Mus musculus: one gene and its partners. The main gene of each other region encodes a partner of the protein of the gene in region 4 in a complex. Links are inferred from orthologs where the notes say so. Each region holds a gene or a part of one and is shown on either strand. Other genes may lie near its edges. The genes, in order: Map2k3, Nod2, Mapk14, Map3k20 and Akap13.

Region 1 (4,950 bases), on a different chromosome or scaffold from region 4:
TTACAGGAGAACAGGGGTAACGGGGCCTATGCAAGTCTTCCAGGCAACAGCTCAAGAAGCACAGAGCCATGCTGACCTACCAAGGGCATTTATACCAAGTCGCATCCTCAGAGCCTTCTTGTAGGCATCACTACCTGCCCTCGGCCTCAGCTGGCTCTGACTACGTGTTAGGGAGCTCTCTGGGCACATTCTCTCAGCTTACAGCTGAGATAGCAGTGCAAACAATGTGGAGCCTGCTGCTTCCTACCCGGTCATCTCTACTTCGGGGACCATCACTTGGATGAGTGAGTCAGGTTGCCTCTACAGGGGCCTAGCCTAGGTGGCCATGGAATGAAGCACCTCAGCCCAGCACCTTGAGAGCACCTGTGGCCTGTGGCCAAGTCTGAGGCCCTGGTGGGCTGGCAGCCTCCAGGCCCTAGCTATATTGTCCCGGCATGGTCCCAGAGTAAGGATTCCGCCTAGGGCTCCACAACTCCCCAAGAAAGAGCAGGCTTGCCACAGTCAGTCTCACACGATTTTTTTTTTTTTTTTTAATTAAAACAGCAATAGGTTCCTGCCCAGGAAAAGGCTGGAAGAGGCAGGCCTTTCTTCACAAAAATAGATTTTCTTCTTTTTTTTTAAAAACACCACCAAAGTAAACCTATTAGCTTCCAAGAGCTGGTCACACCTGGAGAGTTGTTACAGCTCCCTCGTGGCTTTGAGCCAAGAGCTTGAGCCATCCTTGCAGACTCCAGTCCGAGCACTGGGCGGCTGTGAGCCTGCTGGCACCCAGGGTTAAGTGGTCAGCTCCAAACCATGCAAGAAAACCCAGCAATACCCACAAAGCAAAAGGCAACAGGAATAATAGTTCAAAGGGAAAGGCAGATACCACTAAAGGTGGTAACCAGAGGCTGTCTGAGGACAGTGTGTCCCTCAGAGACCATTGGCCAGTGCTGGGGGGAAGGCCTTGGGAAGCTCAGTACGTCTCTCAGGAAAGTCTTAGGAGATTCATCCCCATAGTGTGTCCTCAGCACCTGAGACAGGATAGAGATGTCCCTGATCCAGGCCACAGTGTACGAAGTCCATTCATTCAGTTGTGATTTAAAATATATATACAACCTGCATGGCATCCAGGACAGTACCAAGGCTATGGCCTGTCCAGAGAGACACCAGCTGCCTGCTCTTCAGAAGCGACAGCGTTTGCCGGGGTACACAGGCCCTGTCAGATTCATCCCTTGGGTAGAGGCCTGAGACCCTGGGAGCAGCAACAGCAGAGGCACTGTGGGGCACATATGGCCTGGCTGGGAGCCCCTGAGGTCTGGTTCTTTGGCACTTGGGACAGCTAGTTGCAGAGACCGACAGGAACAACCCCTTAATTTCTCAAATGCCCAGGAACAGAATGGCAGTAGCTTATGGCTGTAGGTAAGTGCTGCCCCAGCACGGATGTATGGATGCTGGCAGACCAGTGGGGTCCTGGGCCAGTCCCTATGAATCCTCTCCCAGGATCTCCTTCACAAAGGCAGCAATGTCTGTCTTCTTAGTTTTGTGCAAGGTGAAGAATGGGTGTTCCTGGTAGGAAAGAGAGGTACAATTTCTAGGGGTGAAGGGGCACAGGAGAAAGTATAAAGGAGAGGTTCCCTCTTTTCATGCCCCTCCTACCTGGCCAACTCCTGCTGGTCCATCCAGGACCGCTGCCCCTCGAAGCCCTCCAAAACCATCAAAGCTTGTGACTCTGCCTCACCCTCCTACAAGAGTCCCTCCTGCCACACAAACATCTCTTTCCTCAAGGGTACCAGACCTCTGCCCTACCAGACCCTCTACCCTTCCTTCATTAGCAAAGAGCCCATACCCATCCTTCCAGGCTCAGCTCAAATGGCATCTCCTCTAGGAAGCCTTCCCTGATGCCACAGTGACTCCTGTGCCCCACTGTCACAGCCCCGTGCACCTTTCCACAAGGCCTGGGGTACAGGCATGGGTGAAGGTGAAACTACACAAGCACATGCAAGGGCCAGGCAGAAGAGCTACCTCTCTACCCTGGAGTGCAACCCTCTTCCAGACAGTCCCACCCAGCCCCACCCAGCCACTACACAGCACAGGGGACAGGGCAGGTACTTCTCGTGCACACTCACCATCAGCTCCAGGTAGCTCATGCGCTCTGCAGGGTTCTTCCTTAGGCTAGGAAAGAGGGCAGTGAAGACAGGCTCACACGGAGGAAGCGAATCCAGACAGGCTGGGCTTGCCCCCATTGAGCAGCACACTCCTGGGGCTCAGAGATGGAGCAAACTGTCTGGGAGTCTCGCCAAGTGGCTTGGGGTCCGTGGGTACTAACTCTATAGTCTTGCAGCAACTTTCCCTGCCTCTTGGAGACCAGTGGTCTCTATAGTGACCCAGGCTAGGTCTGTGGCACCAACCCCAACATGCTCTGCCAAAACCACAGACTAGATTATCCTTTATCAGAAGGGAGGACTCCAGTCATTGGTTCCGGAACATAAAGTCCAACCAACAAGAGGCAAACTAATCAATGACTTTGTTACTGGTCTCCTGGGCCTGCAGCTTTTCTTGTTTTCTGCTGAGAGGCTTTGACTTGTCCTCTGAGCATCTCTGGGCCAAACATGCAAAACATTGGTTTGCTCTCACTAGTTTCCTCTTAAAAATGTATTTTCTAAATCTCTCTTATAACCCAAGAGTTATAAGAATACTTTTACTTTCCATGCAGTTATTTAATTATGGTTAGAGAGCTCGTCTGTATAACTGCTTTTCTTACTCTTTTGTAACTTCAAACATCTTTTTTTTTTTTTTTTTTTTTTTGAGACAGGGTTTCTCTGTATAGCCCTGGCTGTCCTCTAACTTACAGAGATCCTTTCTCTGCCTCTCAAGCGCTGGGATTAAAGATGTGCACCACCACTGCCTGGATCAAAAACATGACTTTTCTAAAACCTCTATGAACTTTCTGTAATTCAGTAAAAACTTCTAAACAACAAAAAAGCAACTTCATTATGCATTTTAATGTTCCATAATATATGTTACTACACACAAACACACACACACACACACACACACACACACACACACACACACATACACACACAAAATCCCTCTACTCTTTGGGGCTACCTGATTCATCCTTTTCTGCAAAGACTAGAACTAAAAGCTACCACTGGGACTAAAACCTTTTACTCGTGCTGGAACTAGCTTTACCTCCTGCCTTCTGATACCAGGTGGCTCAAGGGTTATCTTGCTGCAGAAGGAGGGGACACAGCCCAGATACTCACCACTGGCTAGTGAAGTCCACAAACTCAGGGGAGAACTGGTCCGCTGGGAGCTGTGGGGATGGCTCCTCCACCACCTGCTTCAGCTGCTGGAACGGTGTGCCCCAAGACTCATAAGGGAATCGCAGAATGGCCATCTCGATCTGAAGTAGGGACAGCAGTCAGCAGGTTCATTTGGTACCCAGAAGCATGATGAGGAAGGGATTTTACCCATAATTCCCCAGCACCCCAGGCCAGGCCTTGGTATGAGGGCTGACACTGACTGCCCTCATACCAAGCAGCAGGCCAACTAACTACTGAAGCTCCTCTGACTGGACTGGCAGACCTAGCTCAGACTAAGGCTCACCCTGGGCTGGGTTTAACCCTTACTGGTTTTTTAAATTTTTTTTTCAAACACTCTAAAATTGGATGATTTGTATTTAACAACTTGGGTTCCAGACAGCGTGTCAAACATGAGGAGTGGCAGCCACATACACCTTTCCCATAAGGTGGCAGTAATCAAAGTACCTCACTGGGTCCAGTCCTAAGCCCCTGTTGGCCCAGCTACTTCCTCTTCAGTACCTCCCCAACACAGACTTCAATATCCAGGGCCACCTATCCAGCTGTTGTTTTTACTAGTTAGGCCAACAGGGAGTGGCGGACTCCTGCATGGATACCTCCTGACGGGTGCAGTGGAAGGCCTCAGTGACAGGCTGTGACCACCATAAGGAATGGAGGAGACCTCTATAGCAACTGCAACTGGCCCTACATAGAGCACTAGAAACTATTCTGATGAGGGACTTTCCTGTCAGGTTCCATGCCTTTCCAACCAACGTGGGAACAGCATGAATGGGAAGACAGTGTGTGTCACATGTGTGCCCGCCCACAGGACAGAACTGCATGCAGCATTTCCAGAATCTACTGCAGGACCTTTCTGCAGACTGCAAGAGAAAGCTCAGTAGCACCCATATACCTAACCAAAAAGCACCAGAGTATGGACCTCAAACATCTTGTCTGTTTTTGGCTTTTCCAGACAGGGTTTCTCTGTGTAGCTCTGGCTGTCCTGGAACTGACTCTGTAGACCAGGCTGGCCTTGAACTCAGAGATCTACCTGCCTCTGTCTCTGCCTCTTGGTATTAAAGGTATACATTACCCTGCTCAGCCTGATGATTTTTTTTAAAGAGTTTAGAAAAAGATAAATAAAAACTAACTCAACACAAAGACATATAAGACAGTTTACCTATCACAGGACCCCCCGGGAGCCAGCCCCCTATAATGACTGAGCGTCAGAGACAGCAGTGGAGATGGTGACACCACTCAGGGCCTTCTTGGTTCAGAGTGTGACCTGTGTCTGTGCAAGGTAACTCCCTTGTATTCTGAGACACAGGAAATTTGTGTGCCCAGAGCTCCCAGGGCAAGAGGGATGCACTGAACCGTACCGTTGCAGCATTTTAAGTGGAAATGTTGGGCCAAGGATAAACATAAGTGGTGAACCTGGAGGAAGAGGTCCTAGAAGACAGTCCAAGCCTTGCTCCTGTTCCTGGGGCCTGAAAACCCTACTGTAAAACCCTGCCTTCAAGATAAAGCCTCTTTAAAAATAACAAAATGTCTTCCCCAATAGTCATGAGATCAATCATGGGAACTTGGACAGTCTCAAAACATTTAGGCAGGAGGAACGAAGAAAGTGGACAGCATATCTTGGTAACTGTGACTCCTGACGGTC
Region 2 (4,192 bases), on a different chromosome or scaffold from region 4:
TGGAGCTCTTATGTAGCACAGGTTAGCCTCAGATTTGGGGCAATCCTCCTTCTTTAGCCTCTCAAGTACTGAGATTACAAGCATAATCCACCACAGCTATCTTTTGCTGTTTTCTGTATGGTATTTTAAACCCTGAATTCTTGAGGTTTCCATCTATGCTTTAACACCTGCAGCATGTAAAAGCTATTTTTACTGTTTCTTTATTACAGCAACTTGATCTTGTTTTAGGGAATGTAATCCTTAATGTAGACAAGATGATATTAATGGCTGTTTTTTTATTTATATGATTAGTTGCATTGTTTGATTCATGCTATATATATCCATTTCTGTGCTAGTGATGGAACCCAGAGCATTCACATGCTAAACAATCATTCTACCACTGTGTGACATCACTCACTACTTGTATAAACCTTTGAACCTTCAAGTTACCATTCCTTCTCTATTAATTTGTCTCTGATCTCCCATTTTGACACTTTCTTTGGGCATAGGTAAGCCTTGGTTATCTGTCTTATTATTAAAAAGACAGATTTTGAAATATCCTGAGCAACCAGGTGAAACCTGTCTACAGTGACTTTCACCGTAGATGGTTAGACAATAGTAGTGTATATAGTAGTTTATTTCTGTAGAATTTTTCTCATGGGTTTACCAGCTTCTTCAGATAAAAAGCCTCCTGCCTGTGGTAAAGGTATGATTGTAGAGGTCTGGGAACCTGGAGGATGAGTGAGCTGGGTAGTGGAAAGGTAACCTTGGCACATATTTTACACACAGTCATTTAAACTCTGGCTTTGGGGGAATGGCAACCACTTTCTAGTTGTGCCTGGATTCTCCCAGTCCTGGGATCCTTTTTCATCCTTTCAGAATGCAGATCTTTGGGCAGTATGACAGGCAGGGACAGTGAGTGGCTGGGTCATGCTTTGGAGTGGGGAAGACATACTTGATACTGCCATGCCAGAGCTCTTGGCAGACTGTAGGGTACACATGACATGCTTTTCAACAGCAACATTTTGGTCTTAGGACTTAGCCTTAAGAAGTCTTCTACCATCCATCCATGTGTCCATCCATCTGTCTATCCATCTGTTCATCTGTCCATCCACCCACCTACCCACCCACCCACCCACCCATTCATCCATCTACCCATCTATCCCACATCTATCCATCCATCCATCCATCCATCCATCTACCCATCCATTCATCTATCCACCCATCCATTCATCCATCCACCCATCTATCTACCATCCATCCATCCACCCATCAGTCCATCTGTTTGTCCGTCTGTCCACCCACCCACCCATTCATTGACTCATGTATCCAACCATCCACCCACCCACCTGTCCATCCATCCATCCATCCATCTATCCATCTGTCCATTCCATCTATCCATCCATCCATCTATCCATCCATCCACCTACTTACCCACCCAGCCACTCATGTATCCAACCATCCACCTATCTGTCCATCATCCATCCATCTGCCCATCCATCCATCCATCCATCCATCCATCTGTCTATCTGTCTGTTTATCTAGTAGGAGTCCTTTTATACTGCCTCTGTCATTGGGACTAAATCAGTGAATACAACAGAAAACTTTGTTGTGATGTTCATACCTCAGCTGGAGATAGATCATAGCAGAAGCAAGCATTGCAGAGTTTGGAAGGTGCCCTGTGCAATGGAAGATTAATAAAGGAGTGGATCTGTCTGTTGAGAGTCCCCAGGGTATAAAGTAGTGACTTCACCTTCCTGAAAGGTTGTTAGAGTATTCTCAGTGAGAAGATAGGAGCTGGGAAAAGACTAAAGTGGGTGAGAGAATTAGCCAGCCAGCGGTGGGGTTTAGCACTCTAGCCAGAGATGCTGTTAGAGCAAAGTCCTGAAGTAGAAGCACACTGGGCATGCTCATTAAATGAGAGGGAGGCCAATGCTAAGTGGAGCATTCAAGGGGAGGAGGGGGCCAAGGCAGTCAAGCAGTCAAGAAGAGATGCAGTCTGGGTTTACATGGTCACAAACAAGGATGCTTGTCTACTTTGGCTCTGGAGTGTTTACCATTGGACTCAGGCCATGGCTGGGATGTTTATGCTATGCTTGTGTGACTAACCTGTAAAATACTCACCTCTGACTAGGAAGCAGGCACTCTCCTCTGACTGTGGTGTGGGGGATGGAATAGGCTGTAGGCAAGGATTGTGCAGAGACTGGCAGCTGTGCAGTTTCTGGGTAAGCCATGATGTGCCTTGGAGCAAGATGGCAGTAGGCCTCATGTGCATACAGGGCTCCATAGCCATCAGCTAAATGTACCAACTCTAGAAGACATAACAGAAAAGAGATTAAAAAGCAGCACGTTCCACTACTTCTTATGTTGACCGTGTGGTGAAATGGCAGGATTTTGCGTGTTGTGGTAAAGTATGATCTATGACCAAGTACACCCAATACTTGTCACTGAGGCATGTGGCTGTTAGGCTTTGGTGCACATATACCTTGCTTGTGTGCTCTGGACTCTATTTCTGTCAGACAGCTTGATTCTGGTACTTTGAAGGTGGAGACTACAGGATGTGCTGACAATGTGCAGAGAAGGGACTGTAAGGTGACCTCAGATGTTGGGCTGAACAACTAGAAGGATTGAGGAGACCTGAGCAGAGACTAGGAAAGGCGTGTGTGCGTGTGTGACCAGCATGTGTGTGTGTGTGTTTGTGTGTGCATGCACGCGCACATACTTATGACACATTTAAAAGGAAAAAAATGGGCAGTTAGGGGTGTGGGTCCCAGACTCAGAGCATAGTTTAGGCTGGAGAAGAAAGTGGGTTCTGTGGAGAGAGAGAGTTTAAGCATCCAGGCCATGGGACTTGGTACAACACCAGCCTTCCAGGGGTCTATAGCTTCCAAAATCATTGCTTGCTTTTGTCCGTTGGTAGGTTTATGTATTTGTTTGGTCTTTTTTTTTTTTTTTTTTTTTAGCTTTTAATTTTTTAGCTATTCATTCTCTCAGTGGGTTTTGGGAGGAAGCCAGGTTGGCTGTGTGTTTGTTTCACAAACCACGACTACATCATCTTTGTTTGCTAAATGCAGACGGTAGAGCAGTTGTTTTTCTGGGCTCTCATTATGCTAGAAGAGGACTGTGTATTGGTTGTATTGTTGGTAGTTTTTACTTTATCCTGAATGCTTGATGCCAGGAGTGTTTCAGAAAATTTTTTGGGTTTTAGAATATTTACATAAACAATGAATACCTTGGCAACCCGACCCACGTCTAACGACAGAAGTCATTTATATTTCATGCACACATGGCTGGAAGGTAATTCTACACGATGTTTCAATTTTCCTGTTGTGACATTGTGTCAGCACTTAGAATGGTTGGGATTTAAGAGCATTTGGACTTGGGACCTTCAGATTAGGGGTGTCCAACTTTTAATAGAAACCTTCCCACACTGTTCCTCTTCCTTCGGCCTTCTTGAAAATAGCAATGGCCTTTTCTTTGTTGTCTGTAGGCAAGAAGGCTGCTTGATCTCGCTGCGGTGAAGGCCAATGGACTGGCTGCCTTCCTTCTACAGCACGTCAGGGAACTACCAGCTCCACTGCCTCTGCCTTACGAGGGTACGTATTTGTCCTTCTGGTTAACACAGACCCCTGGTTAAAGAGCAAAGCACAAGGCAGTTAGCGTCCATGGATGGATGCCTGACGTCCTCCAGACTCAGTTCCTGCATCTGAAGCCTAGCAGCAACCTGACAGCAGTGAAGATGGAAAAGATGAGGGCATGGCGGCTCTCCCCCTTCCTTGCTCCCCAAACCACATGATACTCCCTGGAGCCAAGGCGTGTGGAGAGAGCCAGCTATGGGTACATCTTGCTGTCCAAATTGCATTCTAGACCAGACACAGATAGGGCTAGGATCTCTCAATCCACGAAACGTAGTTTCTCATGATCTGGAACTCATAACCAGGCAGACTTAGAAGGTGCAGTCTCATCCATGGTATGCTCAGCTGAGCAGTGAGAGAGGCTCCGGTGACACGGCTAAAATGTACCAGGCAGCCTGGCATACACTCTATGGAAATTTTCTGCCATTTACCAACAGTTCTGAGAAGTGGGTATTTGCTATGTTCCATTTCACAGATGGGAAAATTGAGGCTTGAGTAGCAAGATGGGTGTGACTGGAGTGTCCTTCTCTACTTGGGAGAAGAAGCCACCAGTTGCAGAAGGATGCAAGCCTGGTACT
Region 3 (4,192 bases), on a different chromosome or scaffold from region 4:
CTCCTTAAGCAGAGCTGGTGGGCGTTCTCACAATCACATTAAATGATATTATTCCTAAGCCATGGGACAAGTGCCCAACAGATAGGAACGAGTGCTTAGTGCCCAAAACCCAGATGGTGCTAAGTATGGGACTAAAGTGGGGCTGGCTCTAAACAGGGACAACAAGGTGTAGAGAACAAGAGCACACAGCAGGGCCTCTCTCTTCCTGCTTCTTTTGTTGGTTGTTAAGCAGCAAATAGGACAGGACTCAGCGGGCGTGTCAGCAGAGGGACCCACAGTCTGTTTAGTACATAAGCAAATGTGAGAACCAGATACCTCTGAATACAGGTGGCCGTGTACACTCACCAAGGATTTTCAGGAATAGACTAAACTCATTAATAAAGGGACTTGCTGCAAAAATATGACAGGTGAGTTCTAAGCTTGTTTTCTCAACCCCAAAGCCTTTTCTTGGCAAGGTGAGCAACTCAACAAGAGGACAGACCTCAAAAGCCACGCTGGAACTGCAAAGAACTGAGTCTTCCCCACCAATGAGTTAGGGAAGCACACATCTACCACAGCACACACATGAGAAACAGGGCCAAAACGTGTTAAAGGATACGGTCTGTACCAGGAAACAACGTTCTTCCGGTCAACAGCTCAGCCATGATGCAGCCCACGGACCAAATATCCACTGGAACAGTAAAGAGGATACAAGCACCGACATGGTTTCTATTCATATTCATGGACACAAATGACTCTAACTATGAGTGAGAGATTCAAGTCAGGATTTAAGACACCCAAGGTTTGACAATCTTTTTTATATAGAAACAAACTTATTAAAATTGTCACTCAAGAAAAGACTCCACAGGTCGTGCAACTCAGAATATAATTAAGATAAAAGAAATAAGCAACTCACAAAGGGGCAAAACTTTGTTACTGGTAAATGGTGAATCCTCCCAGGAAACATAGGTGTTAGGATTAAGAGACCACTCCCCTCAGGTAGTGTCACAGAAAGAATGACACGGAAGACGTAAGAAGTAAGGCCCCAGCTGCTAAGTCACCTGAAAGCCATGTTAGGGAGCACCCCTTCCCCATCTGGGGAGGCGACTGAAGCAGTCAGTACCTGTCTGGTTATAGTGCATCCAATTCAGCATGATCTCTGGGGCTCGGTACCACCTGGTAGCCACGTAGCCTGTCATCTCATCATCAGTGTGCCGAGCCAGCCCAAAATCCAGAATCTAAGGGCAAGAGCAGAAGTCAGGCATGGGAGCAGCAAGTTCTGCTACCTCACAACCAGGAAAGCAGAAAAGTCACTTTCAGAAAGAGGGCACCCCAGTTTTCACTTAGAATGCATGACATGATAAAACACTCCAAGAAACTTTAAAAATAAAGCTTCAAGCAAAGCAACCCCCCCCCCCATTTACTCAAGGATAAAAACATATGCCCACACGGGTGTGCACAGGAATGTTCACAATAGGTTTATATTCCGAACCACAAGTGCTCACTAATAGGACAGCAGCGTACAAACTTTGGTGTGCTTATGAAAAGGAAACTGCTGAACAACTGGGAATGCTGGAGCACACAATACAGATGAGCACACAATTCAGTAATGTGCATGACCCTCGACAGTTCCATTTATACGAAACAAGATTAATCCAGAGTCAGAATTGGGTCAGTGGCTGCCTGCATTGAATGAAGGGTGAGAGTCATGGGTCACTAGGAGGGGACACTCAAACCTTTTGAAACTATGGAGGTTACTATGTCATCACTGTGGTTACATGGACATTACAACTCTACTGTAGTCTCTCCTCCCCCAGCCTGAAACCTGCTTGCTCAGGGGTGGAGCTTCCCGCTCATCTGTTCTGTCACGCCCACTGCTAGAACCTGCGGAGCCACACACGTGCACCTTTTTACTGGACCAGAGATTATTTGGCGGAAATCGGGTCCCCTCCCCCTTCTTTTATAACTAGTGTCCCAACAATAAAATTTGAGCTTTGATCAGAATGAATTTATCTTGGCTCCGTTTCTTCTTTCGCCCCGTCTAGATTCCTCTCTTACAGCTCGAGTAGCCTTCTCAGTCGAACCGTTCATGTTGCGAGCTGCTGGCGGCCGCAACACTCTACAAAGAAGTACATTTCTTTTCCTTTTCCATTTCATGTACATGGGTGTTTTGCCTGCATGGATATCTGTGCACCAAGTCTGTGCAGTGTCCACAGAGACGAAGAGTGGGCATCAGATGCTCTAGATGCAGATGGCTGTGAGCAGCCATGTAGCTGCTGGGAAATGAGCCATCTCTCTAGCCCCCTGCAGACATTTCAAAAAATTCATTGCTGGGCAGTGGTGGCGCACGCCTTTAATCCCAGCACTTGGGAGGCAGAGGCAGGTGGATTTCTGAGGCCAGCCTGGTCTACAGAGTGAGTTCTAGGACAGTCAGGGATACACAGAGAACTGCTGCCTTGAAAAACCCAAATCCAAAATAAATAAATAAATAAATAAATAAATAAATAAATAAATAAATAAATAAATAAATAAAATCATAAAAAAGCATAGTGCTACTTCCTTTTTTTCTTTTTCTTTTTTATTAGATATTTTCTTCATTTACATTTCAAATGCTATCCCGAAAGTTCCCTATATCCTCCCCCTGCCCTGCTCCACAACCCACCCACTCCCGCTTCCTGGCCCTGGCATTCCCCTGTACTGGGGCATAGAATCTTCGAAAGACCAGGGGCCTCTCCTCCCACTGATGGCTGACTAGGCCATCCTCTGCTACATATGCAGCTAGCGACACAAGCTCTGGGGGGTACTGGTTAGTACATATTGTTGTTCCTCTTATAGGGTTGCTGACCTCTTTAGCTCCTTGGGCAGCTACTTACTTTTTTTTTTTTTTTTTGTATGCTGCTTTATTGTATGCTACAGCCAGTGTATATAAAATAGTTAAACCTTGTGAGACAGAAACCCATGGAATTCAGAGAGGTAGATGTTAAGGACTGACGAGCAGAAGATAGTGTATTATGGCACGTGTTAAAGAGAAGCTTTTGTACAGACTTCAAACTTAGCTCTCTTGAATAGTCACTGGTTCATGAAAAGTGGTTTGAGAAACCTCAAGATAGATGACTACAAAAAGGAGCAGACTTTCTGGGGTCTGAAGGGATTTGTACTTGAAGACCCTCCAGTCAGCAGAGGGTCATGTTGAGCATTCTGCAGACAGAACTGCTTCAAGCCTGCAGCTGCCAGGGAAACCTTCACGCGGTTCAGCCCGGCCTCCAGCCGGAGCTGCTGAACCACCTTCTTCATGGCGGCAACGCTAGAAGAACCCAACATGGCGCTCGGGACAGCAGGGCTGACTCGTCAGTCTGGGCAGGGGGCAGCCTCTACTTACTTTTTAAAGACTTAATTTTAATTTACTTAGGTTTTATTTAGATCATTCTGAGATCTGCAATTTTTCCTTTTAGGAACCTATCTAATTATCAGTGTTCCAGGAAGGCTTAACTGACATTTAGACTATAATATCCCTTTATTACAATTAATGTGTTGCATTTCTAATTTAATTATCTTTTAAAAATGAAAACAAGATACCGACATCTACTTCCAAAGTTACTTAAACAGCTTGTTCAGCCTAGTTCAAGTCTCACAGTCTGATATTCCTAAGGACAAATGACTTTTTAGATAGCAAGTCGTGGCTTAAGTGTGGTTGGTCACGATTCTGGGGAACACTTAAGAGAAGCAAACAGTCCATCTCTTCTTTCTTACCTTGAGCTCACAGTCTTCGTTCACAGCTAGGTTGCTGGGCTTTAGGTCCTGGAAAGCAAGCAGAGAGAGCTTATCAACAATGCACAGAGTCTGCTCCCTACAGGTCCTAAAGATGCACACATGTGGAAGAGCTCTCAGAGAGAAAGGCAGACTCCAAGCCTTGAGCAGGCAAATGGCAAGTGTTCCTTTACCAGGTCTACACTGAGAACAAGGTTGCAGAAAATCACTATTTCAGTTACAAGGCTGAGATCTGAACTAGATGTCACTCTTCTAGCCCCACCCACACTACCAAAATAATTACCACGTCAGGTATAATACATACCCTGTGAATTATGTCAGCCGAATGTATATACTGCAAAAGAGAAGAAAGTAGGTTGAATGAAAGCCATCTTCAGCTTTTTGGTGTCATATCCTCTAGAGTGCTTGCAGTGCTCTCCCCTCAGTCAAGCACTGTGCGCGCTCA
Region 4 (4,192 bases):
CAACTGGATTGGTTAATTTTTTTTTTTTTTCTAAAATAAGAAATGTTTAGTTAAATGCCTTCTGGCCAAGTCTCTCAACACATCTCTAATTATTTCCTTAGAGATCTTTTCTAAAATTGGCATAGCCAGGTCAAAGTGTATGGTCATGTATTTTTAAGTCTCCTATTTTTAGATGCTGCTTTCTGCCAGCAATTTTGAATTTTATTTCCGAATTACATGGTATACATCTTTTGGTCATGCATACCTATAGTACCTGGAATAGTGCCCAAAAATGACCAGCATGCTTGGGCATTCAGAACATAAGGGCATTCGGCTTTCTTTTTTCCTTTCTCCTCTTTTGTACATTCCTAAACTTTATAAGCCTATATTTATCATTTGGAAAATGAGCGTTTTAAAATAGCATGCCGGGTTCGACACTACCTTCTTCCATTATGTCACGTCAGAGTTGTCAGAAAGGCACTAGGATTAGTTAGCTTTGGTGGACCTAGCTAAGTAAACACCGGAGTTTGCCGCTCAAGGCAGGAAACAGTCCTTGCTATCAGTTATTTCTACATTTTTAGCGGCTCTCGGCAGGGAGAAGGAAAGCGTTTATTTTTAGAACTCTTAAGACCACAGAAGCTAGAACTTGAATTTGCCAACAGTGTGATCCTTGGAATGGGTGGTGACTGCGGGTGGGCAGGAGGAGCCTGGGCAGGCCCCAGGTGCTCTGCTCACACCCAGGACCTGCAGGCCTTGGTCTGACAGGTGGAGAGCAGGAAAGACAGGAAGTTGTAGGCAGCTGCTCTCCTGAGAGTCCACCCTGGCCTCTCCTTAACCCAGTCAGCTGGCTCAGCAAACTGTCCCACCCTCTCCTACTCTTTTTGGCTCTTCTGAGACAGAATCTTGTGATATAGAGCAGGCTAACAGGAAGTCATTAGAAAATAATCTAATCCCCTCCGGGATGAAGTGACAGAGTTATGTGACTACAATTTCAGTTTGTGCTATTAGTTTTGATATAAACAAGTTATCTGATGTTTTAAAACCTATGTAGTTAGCATGAAAATGATATTTAACAATGGAGAATTTCTCATTTTAAAAAAACTACAACTTATGTAGTTAAAAGGAAAGAATATACATTAATATCAAAAGAATACCAGCCTAACTTTGGCAATTTGTTTTTACTGGGAAGTGGAGTGAGATTTTGTCTTCTGTAATATTTTTGAAAACTTTAGTTCTGGGCTGGCAAGATGGCTCAGTGGGTAAAGGCACTTGCCACTAAGCCTGACAACTTGAGCTTAATCCCCAAAAACCACATGACAGAAAGAGAGAACCAACTCCCACAAGTTGTTCATGATCTCCATGTGTATACCATGGCCTGTATGCCTCAACACTGTGTACACACACAAAATGAATAAATAAAATGTAATAACAATAAACCCGTATTGTGTGTGTGTCTGTGTGTGTGTGTGTGTGTGTGTGTGTGTGTGTGTGTGGTGTGTTTGTGGGCATACATGTGCTATGATATGCTCTTGGAAGTCAGAGAGCCACACTGTGGGGTTGGTTGTCTCTTCCCACCTTTATATGGGTCTCTGGATCTGTCTCCCGTCACCAGGCTCTCATGACAAGTGCTTCTAAACCCACCGAACCATCTCTCCAGCCCCCATATTAAGTTTTTTATTGTTTTTTTTTTTAATAAGCACTTGCTAATATTATGTCAGGAAAAAGGAACAGGGAGATAATCTAAGACCAACTGAATACAACAGTAGTATTTATTTGCATTTTTGTTTGCCACAAGCATGTAGCTCATTTCTTGCCAGCCCACATTTACTTTGAGACTATTTATATGTATTAGATCACACAGGATATTTTCTCCAGTTACCGAACCCACTAGTAACATCTGCTGTACTGATCATCCACCATGCTCAAGGCACAGAGTGGCTTACTACACAAGTCCCGGACACCCTCCCTAGGCTTCTGTCCTTGGCCTTCCCTCTGACCATCCCACTCCATGTCTCTCTCAGACCACAGCCACCCACATGCACAGCCCGCTCCTTGCCTCTTGTTCTGTGCTGTTATGCAGGCCGTCAGCCCCCTGAAGTCTCCCTCCTGCCCATCTTCCATGTCACATTCTTTGTGGCCTTCCATCCCCCACAAGACCTCTTCTTGGATTGGCTTCTGTCTTCTAGAATGCCTGCACCTTTACCCTGCACCTGAATGTTTCGTGGATGAAACTCCTCGCCCTCCCAGGCTCCCCTCTTCCTGTCATCAAGTCTTAGTATAAGCATCCATCCCCGCCAGAGACCTCATCCAACCTCCCCAGGCTTAGGTGGTCCTCTTGGTTGGTTCTTTATTAACTCTTTCTCTCATCATACAACTTACCCCCACTTCATTGTGGATGTTTAATGGTCTCTCTGATGCACTGAAGACTTCGGGAGAGGAGAGGAGAGGAGAAGAGAGGAGAGGAGAGAAGAGGAGAGGAGAGGCCGCAGTGACCTTTGACCCCAGTGGGTACTCAACACTGTTGTCAAGCACATGGATGCATAAGTGTTGTTTTCACCTTTCAGAAAATGAATCTTCAACTGTGAAGAACACACACACATACACACACACTCATACAGAGACAGACAGACAGACAGACAGACTTAGAGAAAGACACACACACACAGAGACAGAGACAAAGACAGGATTTTATATCATAAAACATAAAATGAAGATATCTAGAGAATTGGTGAGTTCCTTCCTATTAGGCAGATAGCATTTTTTTTAAAAGCTTAACTCCATGAGGTACTGTACCTGTTTTATACAAATGCGCGCATTTGGAACAGGGTCTTCTTATGTATCCCTGGCAGGTTTAGTTCCTGCTGTGCAGCCTAGGCTCACCTCAAACTCGTGGTAGTCCTCCTGCCTCAGCCTGGGATTCTGGGTACACACCACCACGCCCAGCTTATATCGTGAAGTTAGAAATGTAGTGGTTTCAACGTTAGAAACATGACGCCATACTTTTCTTTGGTGCTAAGGTGATTCAAACAGAAATGATTATCATACTTTCTCTCCATTTTCTTCCAGTTGTTATCGCTGCTGACGGAGTGCTGAAGGTAGGACTGTTTCTTATCATTTGAAGAGAGTTGTCCATTTCTGATGATGGCTTTGTGACTAACAGTCTCCCGTCAGCACTGGGTAGAAAGTTGACATTGGTTCCTCTGTCCTCAGATCTGTGACTTCGGTGCCTCGCGGTTCCATAACCACACAACACACATGTCCTTGGTTGGAACTTTCCCATGGATGGCTCCAGAAGTTATCCAGAGTCTCCCTGTGTCTGAAACCTGTGACACGTATTCCTATGGTGTGGTGAGTACGTTTCTCATTTCCTGCTTACCAAAGGACATAGGAAGGGACAACAGCTTAGAGAAGAAAATGGCCACAGTTTAGCTTCCTTGTGCCTGAGACAGTTGGGTCATCCACAGTGGAAGCATTAGGGAGGGGCTTTCCAGCTGTCACAATGTATGCTTTGATCACTTATGACCCCGAGCTAATCTGTCCTACAACAAGAAGAACCATCACTGCTTCCGAGAAACAAATAATGCAGAGCCTGACCAGCGCGAGGCCTGCCGGGCACGCTGTCGAGCTGGGTGGAAGCACCACTGTAGAGCCGCTGTGCAGTTCACTGATATTGCGAAAATCTCTTGGAATATGCTTGCTTATAATAGATGCCCACATGGCGTGTGACAGACAGGAGCTGCCAAGCGAGCTAAACTTGTACATTTCCGAAACTACAAAAGAACATGTTGTTAGACCAGATAGCCTTGCCCAGGTCTGCTGTAAATGCTTCGAAAACAAGTGGTGAAGTTAAGGGGTTAAAGCAGGTGGATGCCAGCAGGCAGAAGCAAGCCTAGAGTCGAGGGAGGAGCCAGCTAAGGATCATTTGGGAGGAAGTAGCCTCTGGTAGGGCATTTCCTGCTGCTGGAAGGAATCCTTTGTGGCTCCTTGTTTGAAGATGGTTCTCCCCCTGAAGTGTTGAATATCCCTTTAAAGACCAGAGCATCATGGGCAATTCTGAGTCTCTGGGTCTCATTGCCCTCTGTGCTGTGTACACCACCTCTGCTTTACACATTACCTCGCAAAAGGACACTACTGCTGTAAGAAACAGCTCACCCCCCCCCTTTTCCTGAGGTAGGGGGAGGTGGCTGGAAAGGACCACACGTCAAGTGCACCC
Region 5 (4,192 bases), on a different chromosome or scaffold from region 4:
CTCTTGAGTTTCCATTCCTGGTTTTTCAGTGGGGATTTCTTCAGAACTCAATGCAGGTGAAGCCTCAGCAGGAGTGTTAACACCTACGGCACTGGTGGCAAAGACATGGTTTGTAATATCGGCTTTCTCCATGGGTTCACTTAAAACTTGAACAGCAGTTGTTTCAGTTGTGCTACTGTCTGAATTCTCAAGTCTTTCCTTTGTGCCTTCCCCTACTTGAGGCTTATTGTTCTGGGTGGTAGCATCTGGGGTAAGCAGGCTATGTTCCAGTTCCCCTGCCTTTTCTGGGGCACCAACATCTGTTGAAGAGCTGTCTGGTAGCTCCCTTCCAGAAGAGTGCTGGCATGCATCTGGTTCTGTGACCATGGCATCCTGCAGCACACTGCTCCTGCTGCTCAGTGGCTGCTGACATGTGGCTACTCCAGAATAGTTTGTTCCAGTTACTTCGTTTCTGTTTCCACAGGATGGAAGACCTTCTCTGCCCTTCACTCCACAGTCGGGTACGCTCTGAAGGCAGCTGTCTTGATGAGATGCAGACCCGGAGTCCATGGCAGATGCTGGCTCCGCCTCTTCCCCCTTTCTCCCCACATCTTTATTTTTCTTATGAGAACAGATGACATTTTCTTCCTCAACCATGCTTGACAAATCACAGGAACTTTCAGCCATCCTCCCAGGACTCCTTTGGCAGCACAGAGTGCTCTTAGTTTCTTCAAAAGGAGGATGCTGGTGGTCAGAAGGCTCTGGTACACAGGGAAGGAATAGGCCATCTGTCTCTGGTACACTGGGCACACAAGACGAATCTTGTGCTGTCACCATTAATGGCATGAGATTGTCCATCTGCTTCAAGTTTGTTTTCTAGGAGGAAACCAAAGATACCTTTTAAAAATTGATCATGAAAAGAAAAGTGTGTGTGGGGGGGTGTGCTGACTAAGAGAAAAAGATGTCACTGATACCTGTAAGCCAAGTCTTGTTGGACAAGCACTGTCTTTCCGGGCCTTCTATCCATCTGCCTCAAATACCGATGTAAAGACACAGTATAATCAGTTTTAGAACCCCTTTCAAGCAAAATATTCAGCCACGTAACTACATTCCCAAAATATGTTCAATCCAACATATCTACGCTTTTAGAATTAGGAATTCTATGTATCAGTTAGATAAAAAGTGGGTTTTGTGCTGTCCATACAGCATATTAAAGAAAAGAGAGTGTATACTATTAGCCAAACCAAACTCTTAACTACTGTCAAGGGTGTTATGGCTTGAGGGCACTAAAAATATGATCAAAAATGGTTTTTAGCACCTTAAAATTAATTTAGTTTTGCTTGCATCTTTTCTGAGACAAGGTCTCACTATGTAGAGAAATTTGCTATATAGACTGGCTAGCTTCAAAACGCCTCAACCCTTCCGTTTCTCCATCCTAACTACTGAGATTGTACCCACATTACTATGCATAGTGGAAAGGTTCTTAAAAATTAATTATATGAACAAATACAGCAAATAAGAAAGAAATGGCTAAAACAATCACAGTTCATCAATGTTATAAAAATAACACAACACTGTTATAGGAACTATGAAGACAGCCTAACTATCTAATCTAGTCTTCTGCCCCTGGAATGTGTGTGTGTGTGTGTGTGTGTGTGAGAGAGAGAGAGAGAGAAAGAGAGAGAGAGAGAGAGAGAGAGAGAGAGAGAGAGAGAGAGAGAGAGAGAAAGAGAGAGAGAGAGAGAGAGAGAATGAAAAAACTAAATAAAATTTACAGTTGATCAGAAGTTATTAATTAAGGGGGGGGGAAAAAAAGACCGAGGCGATAGCTCTGCTGAAGAATGCATACTTCTCTTGCAGAGGGCCTGAGATTTCTATTTTCAGCACCCTACATCAGGCACCTTACAAACACTTCTAATTCTAGCTGCAGGGAATTTGATACCTTCCTGTTTGCATTTATCTGCACATACTCCCCCACAACACACATGCATGGGGGTGGGATGTTTGCACACATGTGTGTGCACACACACAAAATTAAAATAAGTCTTAAAAATAAATAATATAAAAATATCATAGACGTACAGACAAGGCTCAGGAAAATAAAAACAAACAAATAGGATTGCACCTTTAGTGAATTTATAATATCAAAATTCAGATATAGTGCTATTTATTTGGTACATAATTATTTTAAAATATCTGTTCTCCATTTCTTGTCCTTTATAATACCTTTAATACAGTCATTAGCATGCCTCACTTATCTGTTTAATCTGTAAATATACTATATCATCAGATTGTTCCTACTAATTAAAGGTATCATAAAGTCTGCAAAGAAGAGTATAGTCTGCTATCCTTGCTAAAGTCCTTTTGTTAGAGTGTACTAAAAACCAGATTCTCACTAAACACGAGTATGCTGTATCCCTTAAGAGTACACTCCTTCTAATAGTTAGGGCAGTAAATCAATACCCTTAATTAAGAGTGAGCACTGCAGACCAGGGAAGTAGGTAGGCAGTGCTGTTTCAAGAATGCCCAAGATATAAGATACAATTTCCTAAACACATGAAACTCAAGAAAAATGAAGACTGAAGTGTGGACACTATGCCCCTCCTTAGAAGTGGGAACAAAACACCCTTGGAAGGAGTTACAGAGACAAAGTTTGGAGCTGAGATGAAAGGATGGTCCATGTAGAGACTTCCATATCCAGGGATCCACCCCATAATCAGCATCCAAACGCTGACACCATTGCATACACTAGCAAGATTTTATCGAAAGGACCCAGATGTAGCTGTCTCTTGTGAGACTATGCCGGGGCCTAGCAAACACAGAAGTGGATGCTCACAGTCAGCTAATGGATGGATCACAGGGCTCCCAATGGAGGAGCTAGAGAAAGTAGCCAAGGAGCTAAAGGGATCTGCAACCCTATAGGCGGAACAACATTATGAACTAACCAGTACCCCAGAGCTCTTGACTCTAGCTGCATATGTATCAAAAGATGGCCTAGTCGGCCATCACTGGAAAGAGAGGCCCATTGGACATGCAAACTTTATATGCCCCAGTACAGGGGAACGCCAGGGCCAAAAAGGGGGAGTGGGTGGGTAGGGGATTGGGGGTGGGTGGGTATGGGGGACTTTTGGTATAGCATTGGAAATGTAAATGAGCTAAATACCTAATAAAAAATGGAAAAAAAAAAAAGAATGGGAGAAACAACACTGAAATGGGCAAGCTGAGTTCCCTCAGATGATCAGCCATTAAATCAGAGAGGAAAAAGTAACTTCCAAAGAGTCCATTTATATGAAAATGACAGGCTGGAAATAGATATCTTTCAAAAAGGCAGAAGAAAGCTGGAGAGATGGCACAGCGGTTAAGAATACTGGCTGCTCTTCCAGAGGACACAGGCTTTCCTTCCAGGACTCACATGATGGCTCACAACCATCTGAAACTCCAGTTCCAGGGGATATGATGCCTTCTTCTGACCTCTGAGTGTACTGTATGCACGCAATATACACAGACACACATACGCATACAATGCATGAACGTGATACACAAACATTCATGAAAAGCAAAACAACAAAACAAACAAACAAAAACATAAAAAATATTCCAAAAAGGAAAGACAGCCAGAATAAACCATTTCATATCATCATAGTGTAGAATTTGTTTGGCTTGCTCGTCTCAAAAATAATGCCTCTGGCATTGAGCTGGCCCTAGATGACCTCAAACAAAATTATTATCAGGCTGGTTCCAAATCAAATTAGCTCTGAAATAAACGGGGTGGAAAAATGATCTAAGATTAGCTTCTCAGATGCTACAGATCCAGCCATGTGACATCCATACCATCCACAATAAATGCTACTAAGACTCTGTAATAATCTTATGTCTGGCAACCATTTTATCTTCAGTGCTTGAGTGGATTATAAAATCCTTAGTTTTCAGACGGTCTTTTTAACTGTCAACTATCTACGTAAATACGGCAGCCACGTCATCATTCACTGGACAGCAGTGAAAAGGTTCTCCTAAGGAGTGAGTTCCCTTCTTGGTCTTTAGCAGCACTCTAGAAACTCAGGCCTTCTTTAGTTCTAAAACACTGTAAAAATACATTTCTTTTCACAACAGGAAAATTTTGTTTCACTTGCTACACATTTGTACAGCTACAGTGCCTCTGAGTATCTTTCATTACTTCAGAAATGTGTAAAGAATTTAGTTTAAAGATCCCAGT

What was found.
Region 1: Map3k20 (region 4) and Map2k3 share a complex: the UniProt entries of both Homo sapiens proteins name them as parts of the signaling complex. The link is inferred for Mus musculus from reciprocal best matches to the Homo sapiens genes MAP3K20 and MAP2K3.
Region 2: Map3k20 (region 4) and Nod2 share a complex: the UniProt entries of both Homo sapiens proteins name them as parts of the signaling complex. The link is inferred for Mus musculus from reciprocal best matches to the Homo sapiens genes MAP3K20 and NOD2.
Region 3: Map3k20 (region 4) and Mapk14 share a complex: the UniProt entries of both Homo sapiens proteins name them as parts of the signaling complex. The link is inferred for Mus musculus from reciprocal best matches to the Homo sapiens genes MAP3K20 and MAPK14.
Region 5: Map3k20 (region 4) and Akap13 share a complex: the UniProt entries of both Homo sapiens proteins name them as parts of the signaling complex. The link is inferred for Mus musculus from reciprocal best matches to the Homo sapiens genes MAP3K20 and AKAP13.

What each region holds. Positions count from the first base shown.
Region 1 is NC_000077.6:60,948,362-60,953,311, reverse strand, and holds the end of Map2k3 (dual specificity mitogen-activated protein kinase kinase 3), read right to left. Parts: intron 3,392-4,950; coding exon 3,252-3,391; intron 2,155-3,251; coding exon 2,109-2,154; intron 1,549-2,108; coding exon 1,465-1,548; 3' UTR 501-1,464; downstream 1-500. UniProt on the Homo sapiens protein: Dual specificity kinase. Is activated by cytokines and environmental stress in vivo. Catalyzes the concomitant phosphorylation of a threonine and a tyrosine residue in the MAP kinase p38.
Region 2 is NC_000074.6:88,657,070-88,661,261, forward strand, and holds part of Nod2 (nucleotide-binding oligomerization domain-containing protein 2), read left to right. Parts: intron 1-3,469; coding exon 3,470-3,575; intron 3,576-4,192. UniProt on the Homo sapiens protein: Pattern recognition receptor (PRR) that detects bacterial peptidoglycan fragments and other danger signals and plays an important role in gastrointestinal immunity.
Region 3 is NC_000083.6:28,725,382-28,729,573, reverse strand, and holds part of Mapk14 (mitogen-activated protein kinase 14), read right to left. Parts: intron 4,082-4,192; coding exon 4,052-4,081; intron 3,778-4,051; coding exon 3,730-3,777; intron 3,349-3,729; exon of another isoform or gene 2,870-3,348; intron 1,218-2,869; coding exon 1,103-1,217; intron 671-1,102; coding exon 599-670; intron 1-598. UniProt on the Homo sapiens protein: Serine/threonine kinase which acts as an essential component of the MAP kinase signal transduction pathway.
Region 4 is NC_000068.7:72,368,682-72,372,873, forward strand, and holds part of Map3k20 (mitogen-activated protein kinase kinase kinase 20), read left to right. Parts: intron 1-3,045; coding exon 3,046-3,074; intron 3,075-3,189; coding exon 3,190-3,327; intron 3,328-4,192. UniProt on the Homo sapiens protein: Stress-activated component of a protein kinase signal transduction cascade that promotes programmed cell death in response to various stress, such as ribosomal stress, osmotic shock and ionizing radiation.
Region 5 is NC_000073.6:75,605,148-75,609,339, reverse strand, and holds part of Akap13 (A-kinase anchor protein 13), read right to left. Parts: intron 856-4,192; coding exon 1-855. UniProt on the Homo sapiens protein: Scaffold protein that plays an important role in assembling signaling complexes downstream of several types of G protein-coupled receptors.